3 linked regions of the Ovis aries genome follow. Each later gene encodes a partner of the first gene's protein in a complex. Links are inferred from orthologs where the notes say so. Each region holds a gene or a part of one and is shown on either strand. Other genes may lie near its edges.

Region 1 (3,648 bases):
CTTTTTTGCATTTCTTTTCCATAGAGATGGTCTTGATCTCTGTCTTCTATACAACGTCACGAACCTCTGTCCATAGTTTATCAGGCACTCTATATATCAGATCTAGTCCCTTAAATCTATTTCTCACTTCCACTGTATAATCATAAGGGGCATACTAGGAGCATTCATTTTCTTTCTTGACCATCACTTTGGAAAATTGTAGCATGAAATAATATCCTTCATTTGGTTGCTGATAGTTTGCTGATTTTTATTATCCTGTTATTTCATTAGGTATCAGGAAATAAGTTTCTCTGGTCTGGCCTCATTTTATCATCTTTACTACAAAAATATGTCTTTTTTTCCAACAACTGCATAAAATTCCATTTCATGGCTATACGATCAATATGTAACCAGTCTTCCATTTGATGGACATTTAAATTGAATCCATTTAAAAAAGAAAACAAAACAGTAATGCATAAATTAGGAGTGTTACCAGAGTGGAATGTTAGAGCTACATAACCATTAAGATGCATTTAATCTTCAAAGTCTATAATAATATGAAGTAAAATTTATATATAATTTTTCATAGTACTTCTACCTGATTTTAGGTCAATATACTTTGTGATTTAAATGGTATAGTAAAACTTGTCAGATGTATATCCATTATCTCCAGAATTCAGAAGTACTGAAAACAGAATGAACTATAGAATCTAATTTAAAATTAGAAGAAACCTTGGGAAAAAATAATATCGTACTCACTCAAAAATATTTATAAGTTGTTCACTTGGTGCATTTTTTAATCCAGCTACAATACTCTGTAGCCGGCTTACACTTTGGGTGGCTGAAGCAACAGGAGTAATGACTGCTTCTTTTTCTCTTAAATATCGCCGTCCTGTCAGAGGGGTAGAAGGTGCAAATGATGTTTTCTGACAGAAAAGAAAAATATGTGACATTAAAAATCACTAAATTACATGTCTAATTTAGTACAGATAGCATCCCCTCTATTCATGTTTAGTAGGTTACTTTTTCTCTCTCTTCTGGTTACCTACCACATTTTTAGCAATATTATGCTAATAACATCCTATCTCTGAATAATACTTTTTCACAGTGCTTTCTCTCTACAATCTCATTTTATCTTCATAAAATTCATTTGAAATATAACATGCACATTTTCATTTTACATGCGAGGAAACAGCTGACAAAAGGCAATGGAAGTGCTGGGACTAAAACTTAGGTTTCTATGAATTTTCTAGCAGACCTTATACTCCAACCCACCTAACACATAAGCAGAGAATTAAGCCTTGGCTATTAACAATCAAATCCAGAGTAATATGACTGATGTTTGAGAAAAGCACATGGTAGGAAGCAAATTTTAAAGCAAGAAAGCAGCAGCTAAAGTGATACAAAGAAAAAAACAGGAAAAAAGTATGTCTTCACATCCAAAGACACACAGTCTACTGAAAATCCAGGCATTCTGGGAAAATATCCAAGCATGAAAAATAGCAAGAAATGAGCTAAATACTATATGCTATAGTTTTGAAAATTATTCTTTAAAGTTTTCATAGGAAATATGAATTAGTAGAAGAAATTTAAGATTTAACTTGAAAGATACTTCTGCTGTTGGGCTTCCGTTGTGGCCCAGCTGTAAAGAATTCACCTGCAATGTAGGAGACCTGCGTGCAACCTCTGGGTTGGGAAGATCCCCTGGAGAAGGGAAAGGCTACCCACTCCAGTATTCTGGCCTAGAGAATTCCATGGACTGTATAGTCCATGGGTTTGCAAAGAGTCAGATACAGCTGAGCATCTTTCACTTTCTTCACTTTTCTGCTGTTAGTAGAAACACACACACACACACAGAAAAAAACCATTCAAGACTGAGGCCAGGCTAGGTTATATTACTTTTTCAAAGTGATGTTGAAGATTACACTCCACATTAGCCTGTGCTGTCAGTTTCCCTAATGGGCCGTCACCAGTGAACTTCCGAGGGGTTCCAATTTCCTCTTCTGCATCTGCTCCCAAAAAGATCCTCTCATCAAAGTCACCAACAGTTAAAACATATTCTTCGTACTCCTTGTTCACTGCTTTGCTGAAAAGAGAATTCTTTTAAGCTCCTACGATACAACTAAGTTACACAATGGATTTATCTTAAAGATATATTTTGACTCCAGAGCATGGAAAAGCTCATGACTTTCTAGTTTTTATTAACTCTGCCCATCTAACAATATCTGAGGTTTCTATCTGATCATGGACATTCTTCACATTCACATATATGGCAATAAATTATTTTGCAAGGTGACTGAAAAGAATCTGTACTTAATCTGAAAACTAGTTGAACCTAATTAAGGCCTAATCATTGAGGAAACAACTGTGTGTGGCCTTGAAATATAAGTACATTCTAAATTTGCCAATATTTGATTAGTGAAAGAATGTCAACTCAAATACAGAAGTCATTGGTTCTGTTTATGAGTTTCTGAGGAGAGCAGATATTTTAAGTGCCAATGGTTTCTGAAAATAGATTTAAGACTATAACGCTTAACAATAACACTCACTGAATGCCACCAATGCAGAAGAAACCTGAATTTGAATTTGGAGCTGTTAACTTGATACAACATATCACTTAACCAACTGTAACAAATCATTACTGACAGTATATGATATGCCTGATACTTTTAGTGCTAGATAATTACCTATTATCAGTAAAACTGGAAAGGTCCAGAAGGCATTCGCCCTTCAAAATCTGGAAAGAAAAAGTCATTGTGACATTACGTAAGTAAGCATATTAACGTACACACAAGAACATTACATTTATCTAAATTAACACACACAAACACAAAACAGAATTATTAAATTTTTTTTTCAGACCAGTAACTCCTATTTAGTATGCAAATAAAATATTAAAAAACATTTAATGTCAAGATTTCAAAATACTTTGAAGTTAGTCTATCCATAGCAATGGTTTCCAAATTTTAATGACATAACAATCATGTAGGGGAACTTGTTAAAAAGGCACACTTGACAGACCTCAAAGCCTGAACTGTGGCAGCAGTTTTAACAAATTCCCCAAATGATTCTGATGAAAGCTGTCCAATTTTAAAGACTGTCTATACAGAATGGAAACTAACAGTTATTGAATGATGGTATGTGTCAGACAAGCAAAAGATATGAAAGGAATATAGCTACTGTTACTGGTGAGAAGAAGGAAATGGCAACCCCCTCCAGTATTCTTGCCTGGAGAATCCCCATGGACAGAGGAGCCTGGCAGGCTACATGGGGTCACAAAGAGTCAGACACGACTGAGTGACTAACAACAATTGGTGAGAAAGGAAAATTACACTGTTATTAACATTGTCTGTGTATCCACACTATTCTTAGATTATCAAACATCAGGGATGGTAAACTCAAATGCTTTCAGGGGTCAGGGTTTAACATACATAAATGAAGAGGGCAGAAAGCATACTTCCTTGTCCTAAGAGGTAGCCATTATTGAGCTTGACAATCGTTACCTATGTAGTTACCAATATTGCCAATTCTGATTTTTAAAAAATTTTCACATAAAAGGTCTTCATGTGTTAAGCTAAAAATTGAACAAAATAAAAACGTAAAACACCCTAAACAGGCCAAATAAACGGTCTGTGGCCCATGGGCAAGAGAACCACTGTTCAAACCAGG
Region 2 (3,748 bases), on another chromosome or scaffold:
AAGCAGCTATTCAAATCAGTGTAATTAGTTGACTCAATAAAAATACTATTAATAAGCATTACATTTCCTTAACAAATAATTCTGAAAAAACTGCTACGAGTGAAAAATTGATTCAGCTTTAGTAAAGATGTCCTCGAGTAAATTTAGTCAACGTGGATTATTGCCTATATTTTACATTTCCTTGATTATTTCAATCTTTAAAATAACTTGCCCAATAATACTTTATTCCTACCATTTCAAATGAGAGTTTTCTGAAACAGAGTACAAGATCTTGCTCATGGAGCAAAATCAATAGCTGCTCTAACAAAGTCCTATCGAGGAGGTTCTTTCATTTAATGTTTTCAGTCCCCGCAAATCCACTGCTCTTTCCTTTCGAAAAGCAGCGTGAGCCCCGTGCACTCTGGCACTCCCATTTGTCTATGGTTAGAGCAGCAGAGTCGTGCTAACAAGGGAATTCGAATTTCTCAGCACCCAAACTCAGCGTTTCCTTCTGTCTCCTCATTGCTTAACCGCGTGAGGAGCACGCGGAAACACCTTCCCACGGAGGATGGGACCAAGAACCCTCCCCTCTCCATCTTAACTGGTGAGGAACCTTCTTCAGTCGGTGGCTTTGGTCGCAGAACATGACAAGCTGCCGAAACCACTTCCAAAGGGAGGACGCACTGCTCTGAGATGAGCAGAATCCCGAAAATCCCTCACCCTCCCGAGAGGAGCCCAAACGGTCAGCCCGGAGAAGGAGACGTGCACGTCCCCTCCGCCCCTTTCTCTGAGGCCGCGGGAGACGAAGCCTCGCCCCCTCTTAGCCCGTCCCCCGCCCCCGCCCGCGACCAGCTCCCCACCCCGGCGCAGGGAGATCTCTGCTATGGCCGCCGCGCGGCCCCCTCACTTCCGGTGCCGGTGCCGCTAGAGCTGCGCCATCCCCCAGTCTACCGGACAACCACCGCTTTCAACTGACCTTTCTGAGAGATCCGGACTCTTCCGACCTTCACTAGGTGCTGTCCTGGAGGAACCGGCGGATGGTTGCCGCAGTTAAATGAATTCACGGGATATAGATTCCGCTCTCCTCTCACCAGAAACATAAAATGCGATACAGCTGCGGCCACCTCTGCCCAGACAAAATGGCGCCGAGAAGCTGGTTCAGCGCAGGCGCCTTGGAAAGACCCTGCCCCGCCCCCGTGTAAGTCCTGGCCGCAGCTCCGGGTTCGGTTTCCATGGGACACTCCACCGCCAATCCTCGTGCCGCACTGCTCTTCCTGACCCCTCAATTGACCAATCAGTGCTCAGTCGAGCACATCCGTAGTCGTATTTACCAATCATTTTTCAGGACTTGCTTACTCAATACCTGATTCTCCAGTAACGTTAGTCTTCGGAGACAGCCAATCATAAGTGGAAAATGTCCTACCTGCTGTTTTTCGCACCAATCGGTGAAGTTTCAGAGCTACATCCAATGAGGACGGCAGGTAGCGAACTCCAATCCGAAACTCTTCGGCGTCATGAGCAGCCAATAGGAGTTCGTGTAGAAGCGAGTCTGCTCAACAGCTTGTTATTTGGTGGATTGTGGCAGTAAATCGGGCGAGTGGGGAACCCGGCGCAGGAACTGCCGCCGCGGCCGGGAGTGGTGCTTCCCGGACGGGGGCCCACGGGGGTCAGCGGGGCGGAGGACTCGGGAGCTGACAGCGAGCACTTCACCCACAGTTGGTAGGTGAGAAGAAGGGAAGCGAGGGTACTGAGTGGACGAAGCGGCACTAGCAGCTGGCGCTGCTGCCCGGGGTCCCGGTGCAGTTGGAAGCTTAGGAGGTGGGGAGGGGGATGCTTGGCAAGCGGGGCGGTGAGCTCCGGTGAAGGGGCTAGTCGTGGAGCAGCGGCAGCAACTGCAAGAACAGCCTCCGCAGCAACCTCCTCGGCCGCTTCCCCAGGTTCCCCGGGAAAATGGCTGTGGGGCTGGTCGCGCCGCTAAGTTTGCTTCCGCGAGGCGAGGAGCGGACTGATTAGGGAAGCCGGCCCCCAACTCCGCGGTGCGTCCTCCCGGGTGGAGTCCGTGGCAGGACCCGAGGGGCTGGTGGCTGGTACCGCTCTGGGCTGTACAAAAAGTTGAGGCGGGCGCGGGGAGGAGGCGGCGGCTGCCGCTGTGCAGCTCCCCTCCCCTCCCACACCCTGTCCGGGCCACCTCCCCTCCTCCTCTCCGCCCCCCCCTCCTCCCAGCTCGCTCTCCCTCGCGGGTCTGCCCTCCCTCGCGCGCCTCCAGGCTGAAGGCCACGGCCCCTGCCCCATTGGGTGAAGAAGCGCTTCTCCTTCCTGACATGGTGCAGAGCGGAGGAAGGAGAGCAATGGCGCCGTGACACTCCGCTGCCGCCACCGCGGGCCCGGGGCGGGCCGAGGGGGCCGAGCGGCGGAGGCGGGGCGCGGGCCGAAGTCGGGGTATCCGGGGGGCGGCCGAGAGAAGGCTGGGCGGCCGTGCCTGCGAGGAGCCCGGAGAAGCCCAAACGGCGCTCTGCCCTTCTCCGGAGCAACCCGTCCGGGGGCACTGAGTTGAGCATTCCGGGTCAAAGTGGCTAGCGAGGCGGGGGCGCGGTGGGCCGCTGGCGAACTCCGCGGTGGAACCCGCTGCCCTTTGGCGCCGGTGGGGTTCTCGCCGCTCTCTAGGCTCCTGCGTCCTGGCTGCCCTCGGAGGGGATCTTACCCCTTCCCTGGTAAGGGTTCTGCCCCTCCCCGCTGGCGTTTGTTTACTTTCTTTACCGGGGTCGCTCCCCTCCGTTGACTGATTCTGTGCCTGTCTTTCTCCTCCCCTTGGTTATAGCGACGGAGAAGATAGCTCGTTGAGCTGGAACCCCACAGATCGCCAGTGAAAATGAAGGTAAGTGGAGTCGACGCTGCTCGGAACCTCGTGCCCTGAACACTGTCTGTCGTGAGGCTGGTGCTGTGGAATGTCATTTTTTTGGCTACTCAAAATTGATTCCTCTACTAAGCAGAGCTTTCTGAAAATGAGGACGTGTTGAATGGGTAAGAGATGATCATTGTGTCTAAATGCGGTCAGTTTGGCCCCTCTCCGAAGCAGTTAGCACTTTGGACAGGCTGCTGCAGCCTTCCCATTGTTGTCCAGTGGGCTAGTATTTTTAAACACTTCCTGTGTTGGCAGCACCCTTTGCAGAAGTAAAGCTTTTGTCCTGCTTTGGTTCTTTGGGGGATTTTTTGAATTTTTTTTCTTCCCCAGTGCCAGTGAGATTTTCTAAAGAAGGAATGTGTGTATTGTGTTAGGGACATATCATTTCTTCTGGGGATAAAGTGAAATTTTGTGGCTGGAATATACTTGAAGGTGAAGGAAAACTAAATTTTGTATATTATTATCATAACTAATAGCACTTAATTTCAGTTCAGTCCTTACAGTAAATATTTTAAACATATACCCAACCTAAAAAAAATTCTTCTGAAGACAGCTGATATTGCAGACATCCTGTGATGTTTAAAGGGAAAGGAAGGTATATCAACCTGTAGTTCTGAGGTGTTGAATATTTGCAAAAAGTATTTCTCATCAATTTGCATTATTCATAAATGCACTAACTTTAAATTTGATTTCTTACTCATTTACTGTTTCAGTGTATTGAGCTCTGAAATACAGTATTTTCCCAAACTTCCTCTCGCTTTCCTATCTCCTTGAAGTTTTGAAGTGACAGTGTACCTTCTTTAATGTTAGTTGGGAAAATAGAATGAAAAATCATTTTCTGCTTGAAAGTATTTCTCTAAACTGTAC
Region 3 (3,748 bases), on another chromosome or scaffold:
ATGGTGCACAGTAAAAAACATCTTTGGAAAGATTTCAGTATATGATTTTTTTAATATAAGATTTTACACATATATAAGCAAAAGTGAATAAGTGAAATTTACAAACATATTCATACATATGTAAAAAAGATTACTGGTTTTTCAAACTGCTCTCTACAAGTAAAAAGTCATTAATATAATGAGACCTACTGTTACTGCAGAAACCTTTGAACTTTTAGGAAAGTTTCAGGATGAATGAAACAAAGTTGTTATGAAATATTAAAACTCCACTTCCCGCTCACTGCCTTTTTGACTTCTGGACAGCAAAATATGACCACAGATGAAACAGGAAGAACACAAAGAATTGAGAGAAAAGCAAGGGCAAAGTTCCATCCTATTCCAAGGCAAGTTGTAGAAGCCCTCACAGTCAGCCCTTTAGAGCTCAGTTTCATCTGGAAAACCCCAAATTCTCCTGATTCCGCTCTGAAGTCACAGGCTACAACTGAATTTCTAGATCCTGAATAGCAGTTTGCAAGCTGTGTTGTGTAACATCCCTGGCTTTCATCGATGACCTCACGACTTACTGTGACATTCTTTAAAGAGAATCCAATTTAGTTCATAACTATTATATATGCTGTAAACCACTTTTAGGGAGGGAGAGAAGTATGGAAGAAAGAGCTGGGGGTAGGGGACAGGGAAGAAAAGGACCAGAATCTCCAAAAGGTGTAGGAAAATTCTAGAAATAACACTTCCAAATAAAAAAGACTAGAAATCACTTCCAAAAATGCAAAATTTGTGCATTACGCCTTGTTTGTATAAAGTAGAACAATTCAGATAACTCAACAATCACTTACTGAACACCTACTACACCAAGGAGATGGAGAGAACATTCCAAAACACACCTCACCTCTCAGGGCAACCTGAGAGGAGGGCTCCTAGCAGGGGCCATCAAGTTGGCCTCTTTTTTTTGAGTTTCAGGTCAGGGAGAACTAGAAGACCCTCTCTGCTCAGACGCTGCAGCCTCCTTTCAGCACAGTCTTGATAACTGCAGCCTTTAAGGGAGGTAAGGTTGTCCCAGCACTCCCTTAGGGGCTAGGCCCAATCTCCCGTGTCAGACCAGATTCAGGGGTAATGACTAGGAAAGGCCTGCGATGCTTACTGACTCATTAAATTTTCCTTTGTTCTTAAAGCTTTAGTTCTTAAACTGGGTGTGCTGGCTGAATTGTAATTCAAGTGATCACATTCTCTTGCTCCTCAGCGGTGTGGAATCCTTCCAAATCCGGCCTGGAACGGTTAAGTCACTTTGTTTAACAGAACAGCTTTTGATGCATGTTGTTGTTTGAAAATTCTGAAACTGTAGTAACAGACCAAGCACACGGTCTCGGGAAACCGTGATGGAGAGTTTACGCGGCGCTTCCATCTCTTTTGGTGGAAGTTATAAAACATCCCCTCGTCGTGTGATGGCAAGTCTCACTTTTATACATGTGTATGAGACACCATATTAAGTCGCAAATCAAACATACCCTAGTCATCAGGGTTATGAAAAGAAGTGTAAGAGCCAGAGGTGTTTTTATTTACTATTATTATTTTAAGAGGAGGACTGAAGAGTTCACTTCGTTTTTGTTTCATCCAGAAGAGGTGGCAAACTCGGGTTTTGTTTGCTTGCTTCAGATACCAAATTAACTCACAAATCAAACATACCTCTCAGTCATCAGGATTGTGAAAAGTGTGAAAGAGGAGTTTTTATTTACTATTATTAAGAGGAGGACTGAAGAGTTGACTTTTTTGTTTCATTCAGAAGAGGCGGCAAACACCGGTTTCGCTTGCTTGCTTCAGATACCAAATTAACTCACAAATCAAACATCCCTCTTAGTCACCAGGATTGTGACAATAAGTTTAAGAGGGAAAGGCGCTTTTATTTACTATTCTTATTTTAAGAGGAGGACTGTAGAGTTCACGTTTTGTTTGTTTCATCCAGAAGAGGTGGCAAACTCGGGTTTTGCCTGCTTGCGTGTTTTCAATAACCGACAGACGCCCTCACAGGAATCGCCTACAATAGCCGCCAGTCCGCACCAGCGGAGACCCCCAGGGCGCCCCGGCTCAGGCCCCGCGCGCTGAGGGGAACGCCACGCGGGCGCCGCGGCTCTTTGTCGGCGGCGCGGCCCCTGCTCACGCCCCGCGCCCCTCACCCAGCGGCCCGCCCTTCCTCCTCCTGAGACCGCGGCCCGCGCTCACCGCCTTGAGGTCCAGCACGCCGTCCTTGGCCTCCTGCAGCAGCGACACGAATTTGGCGGTGAGCAGCCCCAGGCTCTTCTCGTGCCGGCTGCTGCCGGCCCCGGGCGGCGCGCAGCTCGCGGGCTCGGCCGCCGCCATCGCGTCCCCGCGCTCCGCCACCTGCAGGGCCGGACCCGCGGCGGCCGCGGCCGTCGCCGCCCGCCGAGGGCGGCACGAGGGGTCGCGGGCTCCTGCCAGCTACAGGTGCGCGGCGCCCACCCACCTGAGGCCTCCACCCCTTCCCTCCCCTCCCCAAGCCCTGGGCCGTGAAGAGGGGGCTGCGACCGGGGGCGGGGTGCGAGCGCGAGCCGGCGCGCCGGGGGCGGGGCCCGTCTTTAAATGGCCGGAAGTGACGCACGGCGCGCTGGCGCTGGGAAACGCGCTTCGCTGAAGGCGGGAGGGGAGGGCTGGGCGGGGCGGGGCGAGACGATAGGGGCGATAAGGGACGAGGCGGGAGGGTGGGCGGGGCAAGAAGGGGGCAGAGCGGGAGGGGCGGGGCGGGAGGTGGGTTCCGCGACTGGGAAAAGGGGCTTCAGTCCAGTTCAGTTCAGTGGCTCAGTCGTGTCCGCCTCTTTGCGACCCCCATGGACTGCAGCACGCCAACTCCTGTCCATCACAAACTCCCGGAGTTTACTCAAACTCATGTCCATTGAGTGGGTGATGACATCCAACCATCTCATCCTCTGCCGTCCCCGTCTCCTCCCGCCCTCAATCTTTCCCAGCATCAGGGTCTTTTCAAATGAGTCAGCTCTTCGCATCAGGTGGCCAAAGTATTGGAGTTTCAGCTTCAGCATCAGTCCTTCCAATGAACACGCAGGACTGATCTCCTTTAGGATGGACTAGTTGGATCTCCTTGCAGTCCAAGGGACTCTCAAGAGTCTTCTCCAACACCACGTTTCAAAAGCATCAATTCTTCCGCTCTCAGCTTTCTTTATAGTCCAGCTTTCTGTTTAGCATCAGTGATTTCCAATACCCTGTCTTCCAGGTTGCTGATCCATTCCTCTGTATTATTGAGTCTACTGTTGATTTCTTCAAGCGTATTTTTCATTTCAGTTACTGTATTCATCTTTGTTATCTGTATTTTCTAACTCTGCTGTTAAATACTTCCAGTTCTGCACTAAAGAATTCCATTCTTTACCAAGTTCTTTTATCATCTTTAAAAATCATTCATCCTGAATTCTTTCCAGGTAGATTGCCTATCTCCACTTCTTTTTCTGGAGTTTTATCTTGTTCCTTCATTTGCAACGTGTTCCTCTGTCACTTTATTTTGCTTGACTAGATGTGTTATTGCTGTGTATTTGGTAGGTTGCTTATATTTCCCAGCAGTAGCTTTTTGTAGGAGACACAGCCATGAGTCCCAGCAGTCTTCTCCCCTCTTGTCGCTCTAGGGGTACCTCGATGTGGGCTGCTAGGGTCCTTTTGTTGTGGCAGGCTGACTACTGTGGGCAGTCTGGTAGGCTTGATTAGTCCCTGGTCCAGCTGGTGGCCAGGCCCT

What was found.
Region 2: the proteins of RBL1 (region 1) and ARID4A are in contact, whole or in part, in a crystal structure (PDB 7SMC), measured with the Homo sapiens proteins. The link is inferred for Ovis aries from reciprocal best matches to the Homo sapiens genes RBL1 and ARID4A. Residues at the interface, in NP_002886.2 of Homo sapiens: Tyr849, Ile850, Lys853, Val854, Thr860, Phe861, Gln862, Met865, Lys866, Arg869, Tyr879, Arg880, Asp929, Leu930, Ile931, Tyr934, Asn935, Val939, Ala946, Leu947; in NP_002883.3 of Homo sapiens: Leu957, Val958, Cys959, His960, Glu961, Val962, Asp963, Leu964, Asp965, Asp966, Leu967.
Region 3: the proteins of RBL1 (region 1) and E2F5 are in contact, whole or in part, in a crystal structure (PDB 5TUV), measured with the Homo sapiens proteins. The link is inferred for Ovis aries from reciprocal best matches to the Homo sapiens genes RBL1 and E2F5. Residues at the interface, in NP_002886.2 of Homo sapiens: Ser1000, Ala1001, Leu1002, Leu1003, Tyr1004, Lys1005, Phe1006, Asn1007, Ile1017, Met1020, Ile1021, Gly1024, Glu1025; in NP_001942.2 of Homo sapiens: Met162, Ile190, Ala192, Pro193, Ser194, Gly195, Thr196, Gln197, Leu198, Glu199, Val200, Pro201, Ile202, Pro203, Glu204, Met205, Tyr213, Leu217.

The regions. Positions count from the first base shown.
Region 1 is NC_056066.1:66,042,595-66,046,242, forward strand, and holds part of RBL1 (retinoblastoma-like protein 1), read right to left. Parts: intron 2,717-3,648; coding exon 2,667-2,716; intron 2,066-2,666; coding exon 1,879-2,065; intron 906-1,878; coding exon 739-905; intron 1-738. UniProt on the Homo sapiens protein: Key regulator of entry into cell division. Directly involved in heterochromatin formation by maintaining overall chromatin structure and, in particular, that of constitutive heterochromatin by stabilizing histone methylation.
Region 2 is NC_056060.1:68,643,792-68,647,539, forward strand, and holds the start of ARID4A (AT-rich interactive domain-containing protein 4A), read left to right. Parts: upstream 1-1,552; 5' UTR 1,553-1,702; intron 1,703-2,099; exon of another isoform or gene 2,100-2,690; intron 2,691-2,797; 5' UTR 2,798-2,848; coding exon 2,849-2,854; intron 2,855-3,748.
Region 3 is NC_056062.1:90,394,180-90,397,927, forward strand, and holds the start of E2F5 (transcription factor E2F5), read right to left. Parts: upstream 2,564-3,748; 5' UTR 2,353-2,563; coding exon 2,215-2,352; intron 1-2,214.